Mytilus edulis: one gene and its partner. The protein of the gene in region 1 interacts with the protein of each later gene in a biochemical or structural test. Links are inferred from orthologs where the notes say so. Each region holds a gene or a part of one and is shown on either strand. Other genes may lie near its edges.

Region 1 (8,079 bases):
GATTGTTAAAACAAGTTTAATTCACTTAAAAAACAATTTAGAAACTTGTGTATGTTTAAACAGGAAGTTTAAAAAGCATGTGTAAAAGAAGAAATTAACCGGTGAGAGTCAAAATCTGTACATGACAGATATCAATATAATACGACTTTGAAAGTTAAACACTTCCATCCTTTTGTAAAACAGTCTTAAATATACCTATCACATTAATGTTTGAAGGGTCTTAAGCAAATACAAACCATATTAGTCAGTATGAAACACCAAAACGGAATGAACAATAACCGATTACATTTTGTAGTTTACAAATTCTAAGTTGGTTTACGGTTGTCTTTTTTACTATGTTTATATCATTTCAATCAAGCAGATACCAGTTTATTTCAACCAATGCATTGAAAAGAAACGAGAAATTTGTATTGAACGGTTTAGTTTTTATATTTATCAGTATTAATTTGATATTGAATAGAAAGAACTTATTAATAAGGGCGTGTTAAAATTATTAGTTTGAAAAATGATGAGAGCGCCCTCTACAATATCAATAACAAAGATGGCGGAACGTAAACAAACCACCTTGCCGCAAAATTGAACTTTATCTCTTATTTCTTGCTTATTGTACTCTATAGACCGCACCCCTCTGGAAGGTCCAATTTTGGAGAATAAAGTATGTAAACTGGTTCCCGTCTGACTTCTACACTTTGTTCGAGTGTAGCGTAATACAAGCAGATTCCAGTTAGTATGTAAAATAGTAAATATGAAACCGAGTGCTGTAGGCGGAAATATAATCAACTTCCTTTAGTTCTGGTCAATTGTATCGGAAACATGCTGCTGATAGCGTCATTTTCCAAAATATTAAAACCGGGAAAATTTAAAGTCGGTCAGGAGAATTTTCAAATTATATGTTCCAAGAAAATTTTAAATTGCTATCATTTTAATTATTATGAATAATATTTTTTATTCAAATCAGTTGTAACTAGTAAAGCAAACGCTAAACGGTGCGGACTGCAGGTTCATCATGTCCATTATAAATGACTACCTGATAAGAACGGCTGATTTAATTCTTGTGCTTCTATTTTTCCGATTTTTATTTCACGTGTTTCCGTGTTCAGGGCCCCTCTTTACCACCCTCATAGGTCAGAGGAAGATATAAGTGATGATTTTTTTAACATCTATTGTTTATAAACAATACACCTTATCGCTAATCCCGGCTGACCCGGCTGCTTGAACTTTCAGTGTTCCAGCTAGGTTTTCAAAAGGGCAGGGTGCCAATCCTGAAAAAGGGCATTTAACGCGCGAAAAGATAATATGAAAAGGGCATATTTTAATAAAAGATGTTAATCAAACATTTGTGTTTATTCGTTGAATCACAGGTTATACAAGAACAACATCTTTAGCCCATATAGAACTCTATCTTTCTACTTTTAAGGCTGAAAAACTTGTCAAGCAGCTTGTCACACAAGTTTTTTTTTATCATTGCTTGGCACAGTTGAACTTTATATGCAGTATGTTTTGAAAGGAGATCTGTTTCATACTGTTTCTATGGTCTACCACATTTTACCAGTTTCACCTTCAGTCTACCCCTGCTGTGCTTGATGGCAATACAGCACAAAACAGCTGTGCTCAGTAAATTCACAATTTTAGGATATAAAGCAACAGTGAAAAATAGTATCAAAAATAAAGAATACAGAAAAAGATGACCAAGGCACCCTACCAACACTGCTACTAAGACCCTCTTTAACTTTTCCCATAACTCAAAATAAATACCTAAACATATATATTAAGCAAGAAGTATGGAGACACATTTTAGAATATGTAAATGGGTTACTCAATGCTAAGAAAAAAATCAGATTGAGTTATCTTTCTTTATTCGGGTGTGCTCCTTCTTTGGAGGATTATAAACAGTACGTAAATATGATGTAAATATGATCACAATATGGCCGCCGATTTTGTTATTTTCGTATCAAAAATGAAGGCAGTCAATGACAAATACGTCTGAATTTTCTGTTTATTTTACAGAAAACAAATAAAACAATGTCTTCAACGAGTTAATAATGGTTTTCCAACTTTCTGTCATTACGTTTCTTCCATGAAACTACGGTAAACATCGCAAATTGTGCCCAAGTTGTTGTATGCACATTTCTTCAAAGATAATTGCCGACTGACCGATTCTATTTGAACGAATTAATGTTGATGATCATTAATGACCCATCCGATAAACGGATTACCTATAACAACAGATTATGACACCAGTTGTAACCATTGATTAGCTTGGGTGGTAAACAAAGTCATAATCTTTTCCCCAGGTAAAATTTAGTAATTAGCGTATCATATCAATACGCAAATTAATATGCAATCGATCTTCAAAAAAGGCAGGGCGCCCTGGAAACTGTAAAAAGGGCACAGGGCGCCACTCGGAAAGGGGCGGGCGCCGCGCCCTCTGAAAACGGCCTAGCTGGAACACTGACTTTTGATGCATAAGGTGTATAAAACTTAAATTGCACAATACCCTATAGTTTAGTAAATGGAACATTTTTTCAAAAGAACCTTATCTTCTATTTTGGTAAAAGAATTAGTAGTCCAGAAAATTGTTAACTTTTCGTTTACTTGTAACATCTCCGTAAATCGGAAGACTAAAGGAATTTATGCACAATTGACGACTTGTACATGTTTGTAGTTTCAAGTTAAAAAAAAGTAATTCAACAAATTAGTTTATAGCAGTGACAAGTGTCTCTTATTTGATGAAAAGTTTAAAAGATGTGTACATCGTTTGTTCTCTGGGTGGATCAGCCAGGGTAAATTCTGCCAATTTCTGGGTGTAAACAAATATATATTTATCAGTTATACCTGAACCATTAATGCAAGTCTCAAAGACTCCTGACCGATTGTTGCTTTGCAGCCTTTGCATGACGCTCTCCCACTTTTTGCATATTCTGCTTTGAAATCGCTCATTCTTACAGCATTTGTTTACACTTTCCCACACGTTTTGCTTTTTGCTGAGCGTTGCATTAAAAAAATAACTAAAAACCGCAAAGCACTTCATAAGTTCGATTAAAATATAAACTGCATATGACACTCTCTGGTAATCTTTAATATCACTGTAAGATGAAAATGATAATTTTAGAAAAAGTATATATTCAAAAGGGAAAATGGTATGCCTTCTATTCATTAACAACCTTATTTATGTTTGTTATTTTTGTATTCTGTATTCTGTTTTTGGTTTTCAACTATACACAGCTTTCCCGCCAAAAAAAATAAATCTTAAAAACTTACCGGTTTTGGAAAGGAAAGAAAAACGGGTCTTCTTTTTTTTTATAATTATTTTATTTTTGAAGATGAAACATGTGAAATTACATAATACAGTATTAGACACAAGTATAAAAAGTTAAATAACACTTGTAAGGTCAATTAAATCATAATGGTATAATAAGATATAAATATTACAATTGATTTTGTTAATTTAATGCTGCTTCTAACAATTGCCACTTCTGATCCAATTTTATTTTTTGTGTAGGGGTTAAGAAACATACAGAGTATTTTTCTATTTTGATCCAATACTTTAGATATTCTATCCCACCATATTTTGTGGGCAATACGCTCTTACATCTACATTTGTATATATAGTATTTAAGTAACAACAAAATATTATTAACTGTTTTACTGTTGACAAAATCCTCAGACACACCTAAAATGACCTCTTTTGCACTAAAAGGCAAGAAGATGTCATAATTTCTAATCCAATCTATAATGGAAAACCAGAAGTTTTTTGTTACATTACATTCCCAAAAAATGTGAAAAATATTTTCTCTAACTTCTGAACAAAATGTACAAAGTTCAGTTTCTTTTAATTTACATTTATATAAAAAGTAATTACATGGTAAAATTCTATGAACAATCTTAAATTGAAAATTTTGTAAAAACGAATTTCTTGTTATAATGAAGGGCATGGAATAAATAGCATTCCAATCTTCAATCTGTATATTTAAGTCTATTTCCCATTTGTTACGGGAAGATAGTGATAATACTTTATTATCCTCCAGAAATAAATTATAGAAAAATTTACAAGATTTTGGTTCTTTTTTAACTTTATCTACTAATTTATTTTCAATATTATCAAGTCTAGAACTACCTTCTATCCTACTTTAATTTCCATCTATTTGGAATAGCACTTAAAATACCATAAAACTCTACAAAATTAGTCTTGGTATTATACTTTTAAGCTTACCGGTTTTGGAAAGGAAAGAAAAACGGGTCTTCTTACTATATATCTTACTCCAAATATAGTCGTGTCTATAGTCGTGCCATTTAATAGCTCCGTTTTCTGATCTGACTTGTGTCGTGAGATGTTTGGACTTTGTTATACTAAGTTTACATTTAAAAAGAATAACGTATGAACTAAGAAATTCGGTAATAAGGGTATATGTAAAGCTAAATACTGTCCGTATGAAATATTGTCCACCAGGAGTGACTATATTCATTGGGACTTCAGTCATAACTATGTATCTAAAACATAGATGTATTTATCATGTAATACCCATCTATGGTATCATGAAATATTTTCCTCATTTATGAAATTATCTCCAGAGAAGGACATATCTTCATCATTGTGAAATTCTGTCTGTTTAAAGACAATATTTCACAGATGAATGATTTGTAAAATGAGACTATATTTTACAGTCAGATTGTCATGGACTGAATTTTGTCTCATGAAGGACGGGAAATGAAATACAAGTATTGGAAAACGATATTCCAATTATTCTTCTACCTCCAAAACGCATACAAAATATCCGTCAATCTAGTTTATAGAAATACTAGATGTATATTCAATTTTAGATTTTTAGAACATAGTCATTACTTACGGGGCGCTGAACGGGAGTCTTGTGGTTTTGTTCAAAATTCAATTCTGTCATGACAAAATCATTTTTGTCTTACAAAACTATGTGATACAGACTTGTTTTATGAGAACTTCAATTTTGTGATGACAAAATTCATTTTTGTAAACAAAATTCATTTTTGTAAACAAAATTCATTTTTGTAGACAAAAATCATTACAATAATCATTTTTGTCATGACAAAAATTAAATTTTGTCAAATAGGTATGCAAATATAAACTTATTTACATACAAAATTTACTTTTGTGACAAAAATGAATTTACAAAATTATTTTTGTGTAGACAAAATTGACTTTTGTGACACACTGAACATGGACTTTTGTGACAAAAATGACTTTTGTGACAAAATTGACTTTTGTGACACAAAAATTGACTCTTGTGGCACAACATTGAATTTTGTAACTTAATATCAGTTGTGTATGCAAATTCGTTCACAGAATCCAAACTAAACTAATTTGCATACAAAATTGACTTTTGTCGCCCAATTTTCAAATTAGGTAGTCTGTGTTACAAAAATGAATTTTGTCATGACAAAAGTAACTTTTGGCCACTGAAAGATAATTTTGTATGACAAAATTTTAAATTTGTAGTATGCTACAAATTTTGTTAAACTGAACTCATTTTTGTTTAACAAAACTCACTTTTGTCTGTACAAAATTGAATTTCGAGTACAAAACCACATGCAAGAGTCCCATTCGGCGCCCGTATTACTTATATCTATACAGTATAATTTTGTACAATGGAACATATGTGTCTTTGGTAAATCTGAACGCAAATATAGTTGCTGCAACTCAATAACAGCCTTTGTATCTAATGAGAAATGTAAATATGCTTAATAGATATACTTCCTACAGCGGTGTGGTGAGATGATTGAGGCTGTTAATTTTCTCCTTGAATATATTCGTGTACGGTTCGGCAATAAAGTTAATCGACAGGCTGCATGTATTCATATGGGCACCAATTACGTCCCTTTAATAGCAGAATTATTCTTGTACTTTTATGAATAACAGTTTATGAGTAAAGACCTGTCTAAATTGCATTTAATTTATATATTCAAAAACACTTACCGTTATCAGATCTTATTTTGATGCTATTTTTTGTTAAATAATCAAGAATTTTCTAAATATACTGTCAACTTTTACCATAAGGAACTTACTTTAAATTCATAATATAAAAACTATAACTGTCCTTTCTTAGAGTAACGATATTTCAGTTTTACATGGGAAACTAGTCAATTTAAAATTTATGACAAAAGGGACAATTTTTCAATCCCTATTGTTAATTTTCCACTTTTGTTTGGACGTTGGTGTCCCTTTCACCATTTACGGTGTTTATATATCGCAACTCGTTTACTATGTCCGTGTCTGTCGTGACGTTTTTGACTTCAATGAACGTACACTAGTCTAGTCGGGGGTTTCGTAACCACAAATCACTTAAAACCTTTAATAAATTCTTCCACAGAAAGATATGGTTTTGAAGTTTAGTTGCGCATGTAGAAACTTGTTAAACATTTTGTGGGATGTTGTTTACCGAAATAGAAAATTTAGAAACGATCCGGATAAACCTATCGATCATTTCAAATAGATTCATTCAAAAAGGTTACCAATGCAACACTGACTGTACTTGAATCTTTGATTGTTGTTTTTATTGGTATTACTATTGATTTTGTATTCAATAAATTAATTAAAATCAGACTAAATATCACTTTTATATACATACCGTGATATGCACATTTATGACTCAACAATCTGTCGATACCTGTATATTGGCATTGCGCAAGGTCATGTTTTTTTCAATAACTGTTAATGACGTCTTTATACTAAATCCGTTGGACGTTGGATCTGTATTGATATCTTCATCTTAGATGCATGATTTTTTCATTAATTGATATTTGCTTTGAACTAGCTGTTAACCACTACGACTACTTTTTTTTTTTTGGGGGGGGGGGGGGGGTGAGGGGCGATGTGTTAATACCCTGTCAGGTCCACTATGTGTTTTCGTTAGATGTATTTCTATTTGTATCCATCTGATGAGTTCAAAAGACCTTTTCTAACTGATTTTTTTTTCTTATGTTGTACTGTTACATAACTTCCCGGGTTAGGGGTGGGTTAGTGCCGTCAGACTAGTTTAAGCTCACAACATTCTATATTATATGTGCCCTCTCCCAAGTCAGGTGCATGTTAATAAGTGGTTGTCGCTTTTTTGCATGTTATTGAGTGGTTGTCGCTTTTTTCTGTTTCTCATTTTTGTTTTTCGTTTATTGTTTTGTATAGTTTGTTCTTAAGTTGTACTGTCCCAGGATATGGGAGGGTTTGGCGCGAACAAACTAGTTTAACACCGCCACATTCGGTATGTGCCTTTCCCCAAGTCAGGAGTCTGTGGTTGTCGTTTGTTGGTTTATTTTTTTTTATATATATTATGCCGTTTTTCTTATCTTTTGTCGAATTGACAAAAGATACTAAACTATATGTAATCTTGCAGGATATTAAACGTTAAAATTCATTTTTTAACGTACGTAGATGGACAACTTCTTAGAATTTGAACTTTTGTGATTTTCAAAATTTACCTTTTAGAAGTTTAGGCCGATTAAAGTTGAGTTTTACTTATTTTATGGATGTCCGATCTTGAAATTAAGTTCACTTTTATACTGCTTTATTGACTAAATCTTTTTTTGAGTAAAACAAGGAATAATAACAGTCCATTGTCTTTTGGTTCATTTCAAATTGTCTGTTTAAAGGGAAATTGATAAAGGGTTAGGGGTAGGGTTTACGGGGCGCCGAATGGGACTCTTGTAGTTTTGTACAAAATTCAATTCTGTCATAACAAAATCATTTTTGTCTTACAAAACTATGTGCTACAGACTTGTTTTGTGAGAACTTCAATTTTGTGATGACAAAATTATTTTTTGTCATGACAAAATTCATTTTTGTAGACAAAATTCATATTTGTCATGACAAAAGTCAATTTTGTCTAAAAGGTATGCAAATATAAACATATTTGCATACAAAATTGACTTTTGTTACCTGATATGGAAATTAAATCACAAAAGTCAATTGTGTGAGGTAAGATTCAATTTTGTGAGACAAAATTGACTTTTGTGAGACAAAATTAACTTTTGTGAGACAAAATTGACTTTTGTGAGACAAAATTGATTTTTGTGAGACAAAATTCAATTTTGTCAATTTTGTTGAGACAAAAG
Region 2 (7,431 bases), on another chromosome or scaffold:
TTCATTGTACATACCTTGAATCACAGAGCCAGACAGTTCCACTCTCATCTTTCTGTATGCTACAATGTCTACTGGACACAAGCTTGTTGTCAGTATATGGTAAATCACAGTCTACAATATTATAAGCAAAAAAGTTACATTTTATTTGATTATAACCATTACAAACTTATTTGTATCAACAATCTCACAGCCTTAATCCATGTACTAGAAGGTAAAAATATGCATCATTGTACATTTAAAAAAAAACAATCAATTTGTTTTGCTACATATAACAAGTAAATAAGTTATTGGAGAAAAATAACATGTGCGTTTTTAATCTTGGACTAAAAAAAATCAGAAAACTGTGATAACATTTGTATGTTACAGGTTTCAAAGGCACAATATACATCGTTCATTTTGTTAAATGGTAAACAAGTTCTATTGATATTATTATTGTCTTTATGTATAATAAACTTAAGAAAGATAACTTAGTTCATTTAGGTTGTCAATCATGCATAAGCAGATAAGTACACCTATGTTATTATAGAAAATACATGCCTATAATATCTAAAGGATGTTTTTACAGTTTCTCTACATCTCTACACATATTAGATACATCTTATGTACATTAATTTATTGTAAGAATTAATGATCAGAGCATGAAGGTATGCCTCATAACTTATGCGCACGATTAATCTTCCAAGTAATACCAAAGTGTCTTATATTATCTGATAATATATAGTTATATGCCTGTGATGACTAAGCCTTGTTATTACAGCATAGTTTATCCCTTAAAAGTCTTGTTTCATTGATTTTCCATGGTTGATCAAAAATATATTCATTGAATTGAACAATTAGTTATCATGGTTATCAAGGTTAAATGAGCAAATTTTCGAGAATATAAGATATTTTCTTTTGTATTGATCATATTTATATAAATATTTGAATAACATGAATAAGTTCAATTTAAACCTAAATCATGTAAATACAACTGACACTGTAGTAGAAGAATTAAAAAAGCGAGAAAGAACCCAGGGCAAATGTACTTAGGGCAAACAGATCCAGTGGAATATTACATGATTATGTACATGTATGTAATCAGAGTGAATCAACCTGATACCAAGTTAAACAGGATTTTTCTGAACAATTTTACCTTCTAAAGCCTTGCTTATGGTAATTCATCACTACAGTCTAGTAAGGTTCTCTTACAGACTTGTGTTTGTTTCAATTTAATTGATTAAATAAGACATGTAAGAAAATCCCCTGTCTTCTTATGTTCATTGATGTTGTGCTGTTATACCACTGTCCCATTTAAGGGGGGGTTGGGATCCTGCTAACATGTTTAACCACTCCACATTTTTTATGGAGGCTGTAATTCAGTTGTTGTCGTTTGTTTATCTATAACATATTTTTTAATCATTCATTTTTTTATATAAATAAGGCCGTTGGTTTTCTTGTTGAATTTTGATATCATAGCCTTTTATAGCTGACTATGCAGTATGGGCTTTGCTCATTATTAAAGGCCATACGGTGACCTATAGTTGTTAATGTCTGTGTCATTTTGGTCTCTTGTGGACAGACTCACAGTTGTTTAATTGGCAATCATACCACATCTTCTATACATCATGATTTTATATTTTCTGACAATGTACATATATTGTGTTTATCCTGAAATTTCTCCCAACACTTGAAAATTTAGTTATTAAAATCTTAATTATTGTCTCTAATTTCTCAAAGAAATAAACATAGTCGAAACGTTAACTCAGACCATGAAGAGGACCCCTAAATGAACTGGTTAGGAAACAAATATATATCTGTATATATATATATCCCTTGCTCAACATGGAAGTGGGGTAAAAAAACAAAATAAAACAAAAATCAGGAAAATTTCCAGAATTTTTCAATATGTTCAATTTATATATATAGAACTTTTTTTCAAACTTTTTTAAATCCCTGCATTTACGCAGAAATCTACTTCCTTTTCCCAGTCTTGTATGCATGAGACTTTGAAAAAAATATATATTTATCAGTATAGTAAAATAAAGGATTGGAACTCAATACCAATTCATTTTTAATAATCGTTCTATATGAACGTTACCTGATGAAAGCGTTTCTTTCGATCAGTCTTTGTTTACATTAAATATGATGTCTTAACTTAAATAACATCACAACTAAATCCCTAACAACAGAACCAAATCCAGAAACATTACGGTGTTTCCGTTTCTTTTTTTAACATGTTTGAATTTTAAAAAATTATTCATACACACTTCTCCCCATTTCACAGATAATGCCTGCCTCATATTAGTAAAATTGAGAATGGAAATGGGGAATGTGTCAAAGAGACAACAACCCGACCAAATAAAAAACAACAGCAGAGGGTCACCAACAGGTCTTCAATGTAGCGAGAAATTCCCGCACCCGGAGGCGTCCCTCAGCTGGCCCCTAAACAAATATATACTAGTCCAGTGATAATGAACGCCATACTAATTTCCAAATTGTACACAAGAAACTAAAATTAAAATAATACAAGACTAACAAAGGCCAGAGGGTCCTGACTTGGGACAGGCGCAAAAATGCGGCGGGGTTAAACATGTTTGTGAGATCTCAACCCTCCCCCTATACCTCTAACCAATGTAGAAAAGTAAACGCATAACAATACGCACATTAAAATTCAGTTCAAGAGAAGTCTGAGTCTGATGTCAGAAGATGTAACCAAAGAAAATAAACAAAATGACAATAATACATAAATAACAACAGACTACAATGTGTTTGTTTTGAATAGTCGAAGAAAGAGAACAATGAGTTGAGGGTTGGTTTTTTTTTTGTATAAAAAGAAGAAAGTTTAGGTGTGTTCTCAGTTTTAGAAACCCATAAACGGGAAAAAACGAACTTGACTGATGTTTACGTTTCAGTTACATTTATCTCCCCCACCTTTTGCCCTTCCGATGGTAAATGAGTCTGACGCTAGCATTATTGGTTCAGTATCGATATCTGTCAAGCTGACAAGCTGTCCCCATGCATCTGCATCCATGCTTAAAACTGATTCACCTAAAATTGTGCAGGTCTGACTCAAAGTCTCTAGATATCTGCCCAAACAGGGGAATATAAGTAAGGGGGAGGGAAACCAATGCTAATATGCTGGGAAGATCTTATTCGAACCTGTTGGGACTTTACCATATCAAATGAGTAAATATCAGAGATAATCGGAAAATAAATCGTATCGTCCCATTGGTTTAAAAACATTTACGTCAAAATGACAATAACTTACAACATGAATATTGATACATTTGAACTCTATTATTCTAAAATTAAAAGGTCAATACACAGTTTGATAACAAACTAACGCGTATTAATTACATCCATACGCTTGTCCGACTAATGATATATTAGTCCAGCTGATTCGTGCATTTTTTCAAAAGAATTGTGGGTTTGATGATAAAAGCATGAAACTTTGCACAATGGTAGATCTATATATGGTTGTCAATTTAAGCTATATGGACCCACCCTGAAAAATCCAATATGGCGGCCATTTTCAAGATTACAGCAAATAATATTCAATTCTAATATTTTTAAAGCATAACAAATGTAATTCAACGTTTCAAGTAAGTCAAGGCGGTATTTAAAACTTTAAAAATAAATTTAAATGGCGGACATTTCAAAATGGCCGCCAAAAATGTAAAAAAATTATTTATCTAAAATTTACTAAAACATAGCTCTGTTGATATTCATTTCGTTCTTCGAATTGCTATTTGCAGTTGATACTACGTTCTAAGGATTGTGTTTCCATAATACATGGCTTGCATAATATTTTAATCAAATATCCCTTAAATGGGAACATTCGAACGTTTTCGTGACGCCTTTATGATTTGTTTGACTGTGTACCATCTAAATCATAAATTAAGATTTTAAATAAAGGCGAAGTGGTATGACTGCTTATGAGACAAAGCTCAACCAAATTTCAAAAAAAATAACAGTTATAAGTCACCTGACGGCCTTCAACTATGAGTAAAGCCCATACCACATGTTCTACCTCTCCTTGTACGATTCATAGTACATGTATTTTTTTCCCAAAAAAAATTTGTCAATGCTGTGTGATTTGATCCTTATTATTTCATATCTGTGTTGTCTACAAATGAGTTTTTAAAGCAGTAGTATCCATCACACAGAAATGGCAAACCTGATTTCATTTAAAACTTTCACATTTGGTGAAATATAAGATAAGAGAATTAAAAAGATATTGGTATACCTAACATATACCAACATGTTTCTAATGTGATTATACTGGATATGACTCATCAAGCTATTTAACCAATAACACCTGCTGACCCTCCTTGAACACCTTAGATCATCTCCTTGTTTTATGAGAGGGTTCCTGTTGCTCATGGTGTCTTCCTCGTCTTCTTTAACCATGTTAACATTTAAACAACAACATATTTTCACAGCAGTTTTAAAAATGTGTGCCCGCAAGTATAACCCATTTAGTCTTTGCACAACTCTTCACCACATTTGAAAAAGAAATGTACATAAAATCATAATCCTCCCACATTTTTATCTACCGCTAGAGTATCTTTCAACCATATTTTATGAGCTCATGCAAAATGCTGATACCTTTGTGATAAGTATTCAATAGAGTATATATCCATTTCTGTAAAAGACTTCCTATGTATGTGCTGTATTTGTGCGGTATTATTAATAACATTCAAAACGATAGCCCGGTCTTCTTAATTTACAAGTGTTTAATTATATTCATTGTTTGATCTACATATACCATTTTCAAATCACGTTTACAACACTAGAACTGTATAGTTAATGGTACATCACATACTATAGCACACATACACTATGATAAATGGGATAACAATGCTAAGAACCACAGAATAAGCAGCATAATAACACCTTTATACATTAGAAGGGACCTTATCTTAATCTTCTAACATACAAATATCTACTTCAATCATTAATGTTACAAATCAGTAGATAATCGGATAATATAAATCAAGAATAAAACAAAATGTGTAACAGTATGTTATTATATAATCTTTTCAATGATAAAGAAAGACAAAAAAAAGCAAGTTCTAATATTTAAAAAAAATAATAATAACGTTTTGTTATTACAGAACATTTGTATATCAAAACAGCATTCATCGCAGAATTATAAGGATTCAGTGATTGTTTCTGTTTTTTTTTTTATTAGTATTATTCAAGGCAATGGGATTGCGGAATGAAGATTTACTTATTATATCATTAATAAACATTATTTTGATAACTGCTTCGATCAGTACTTTCTGTTTCAGCTATATACAAACAAGAAATGTGTTCTTCTGTATAAAATATTGAAGCAGCTAGGTTTAAGCAATTAACTACCTGACATAGTTCTTCATTTCTCGGAATAAAATATAAATTTTTCGTCAATTATAGACATGTTATAAAATTAAGTGATTATTATGATTTACTGCTTCACTATGTACAATATGTTTCGAAGGTCTGCATATATAAATGACATAAAGTAAAGACATCAATTTTATTTTTACACATAAAACAAGATCTCTCATTTATTGGTTTAATACTTCTCATCATATCGTTCTGTTTCTATTTTAAGTGGCACAACGTCACATATACATCAAAAGTTTGCATAAGCACTTCTAAATTTGATAGACATATTTTGATTTAAATATAACTCTGTTCAATATTGTGATTGATATAGCTTACAAGTACGAAGCTTGTTACCATTCCTCTGTGACAAAATTTTCGTTTGCCATTCTGCAATATATTTATTAAGTAAAACAAGTTTTCAAGTTGTATATAGAACAATATTCTTATGCAGCACACTACCTTTACTAGTAAACCCTAAGATTTTATAAAAAACAAATTTGATTTTGCATCTGCAGAATCTAAGGATATGATTGCAAATTTTATTTCCACATCTGTACTATAGTGCTCAAGAGAGGGTCGAAAGATACCAGAGGGGCAGTCAAACTCATTAATCGAAAATAATCTGACAACGCCATGACGGCTAAAACAATTCAACTTCATAGGACAGAATTTACTGCAAAGTTTGCGTTTTGTTCGCTACTCAGTGACCACAACCTCGGACAGTTTGTTAAGAAACCGGTTGAGAGTTTGGTAAAAGTAAATGGTGAGTGTAAATCTCATGAAAAAATAAATACCACCAAACAAGAAGACTTATTAAAAGCACAAGACTTTCAACTCTCTCAAACTCCTAAAATATTACACCGCGAGTCGTTCACAATAAAAATCGCAATTTTCATGATTTTCATGACTCAATTGCCTTGCTTAAAAGCTTTGTGATATCAGCACTGATATTGACAAAAGAGCAATGATCGATCAGTATGCTAGAGCCTATATTAAACAGAAGGATGAAATCATAAACAATAGACTTTCAGGAAAACTTTGTAAATTCAATCTTTGCCATTTTCTTATATTGAAGTATTTTTATCTGTAATTAGATGATTTAACTAATCTTAAACGTTTATTTTGAGTAACAATATGCCGGATGAACAAAAAAGTGTGCCACTTATTGAAAAACATAAGGTTTGGTATAACACGACAACTTCTATAATTTTCAAAATGATTAAAAAAAGACACTTTTAATTCTAGATCCGCGCCTGCTACTATTAGACTTTTCGATCCATCCTCTATTAATGAGAAAGACTTTTGAATATGTGTTGCATTAATGTCTAGTCTCTTTGTTTAAATGTAGGTTTGATATTTAAACAATAACCTTATATGAAGATGGAGTTATTAGAAAGAGCTGTGATCATATGGTGCTAAATGATACTTTTGTTTAGTTTAGTTTATTAAAGAAAACTCAGCCGCATTGAGAAGACTGCGTAACAGGAGCATATTATGCACAATATAAATCACAACATATTTCATAATACAAACAGAATACATTTTTAAATTATACATCTTCAGAGATAAATCTTTGTTTATTGCAGTTTTAAATCAGACAAGCATCTTTTCTACCTTTTGAATAAAAATTGACAGCTTAGACAGCACATTATTATTACAATATTTAAGCATGCCCAGTACTTTTTTAACAGTTGTATATTTTAAATAATAAGGAGGTATGAACTTCCCCCTTAAATCTTTAACTTTATAATTGGTACATATACATATATAGTGGTACACATCCACAAGACCAGCTTTACAAAGAGGACAAATTCTCTCATTTCGTGGTACATTTCTCCATCTTCCTGTTTCAATGGGAAACTTTGTATTACATACCCTTAATTTACATATATTTACTCTATGACCCCGCCTTAATTTTAACAGATATGGTTCTAAGCAAAACTCTTCTTAAAGTGTAAATAAAATTCCCCCTTGATGAGTTATCTATATCAGAGAACCATTTTTGAATAAACTGGTCCTGGAGACGCTGCCTCACATTAGTTTTAATATAATTATAATCAACTTGCTCCGGAACATTAT

The links.
Region 2: of the proteins of poly [ADP-ribose] polymerase 1-like (region 1) and E3 ubiquitin-protein ligase CHFR-like, one has a biochemical effect on the other in vitro, tested with the Homo sapiens proteins (2 studies listed by BioGRID). The link is inferred for Mytilus edulis from reciprocal best matches to the Homo sapiens genes PARP1 and CHFR.

Annotation. Positions count from the first base shown.
Region 1 is NC_092346.1:99,417,944-99,426,022, forward strand, and holds the start of poly [ADP-ribose] polymerase 1-like, read right to left. Parts: upstream 3,070-8,079; 5' UTR 2,941-3,069; coding exon 2,836-2,940; intron 1-2,835. UniProt on the Homo sapiens protein: Poly-ADP-ribosyltransferase that mediates poly-ADP-ribosylation of proteins and plays a key role in DNA repair.
Region 2 is NC_092349.1:44,145,341-44,152,771, reverse strand, and holds the start of E3 ubiquitin-protein ligase CHFR-like, read right to left. Parts: upstream 3,082-7,431; 5' UTR 3,011-3,081; coding exon 2,911-3,010; intron 112-2,910; coding exon 15-111; intron 1-14. UniProt on the Homo sapiens protein: E3 ubiquitin-protein ligase that functions in the antephase checkpoint by actively delaying passage into mitosis in response to microtubule poisons.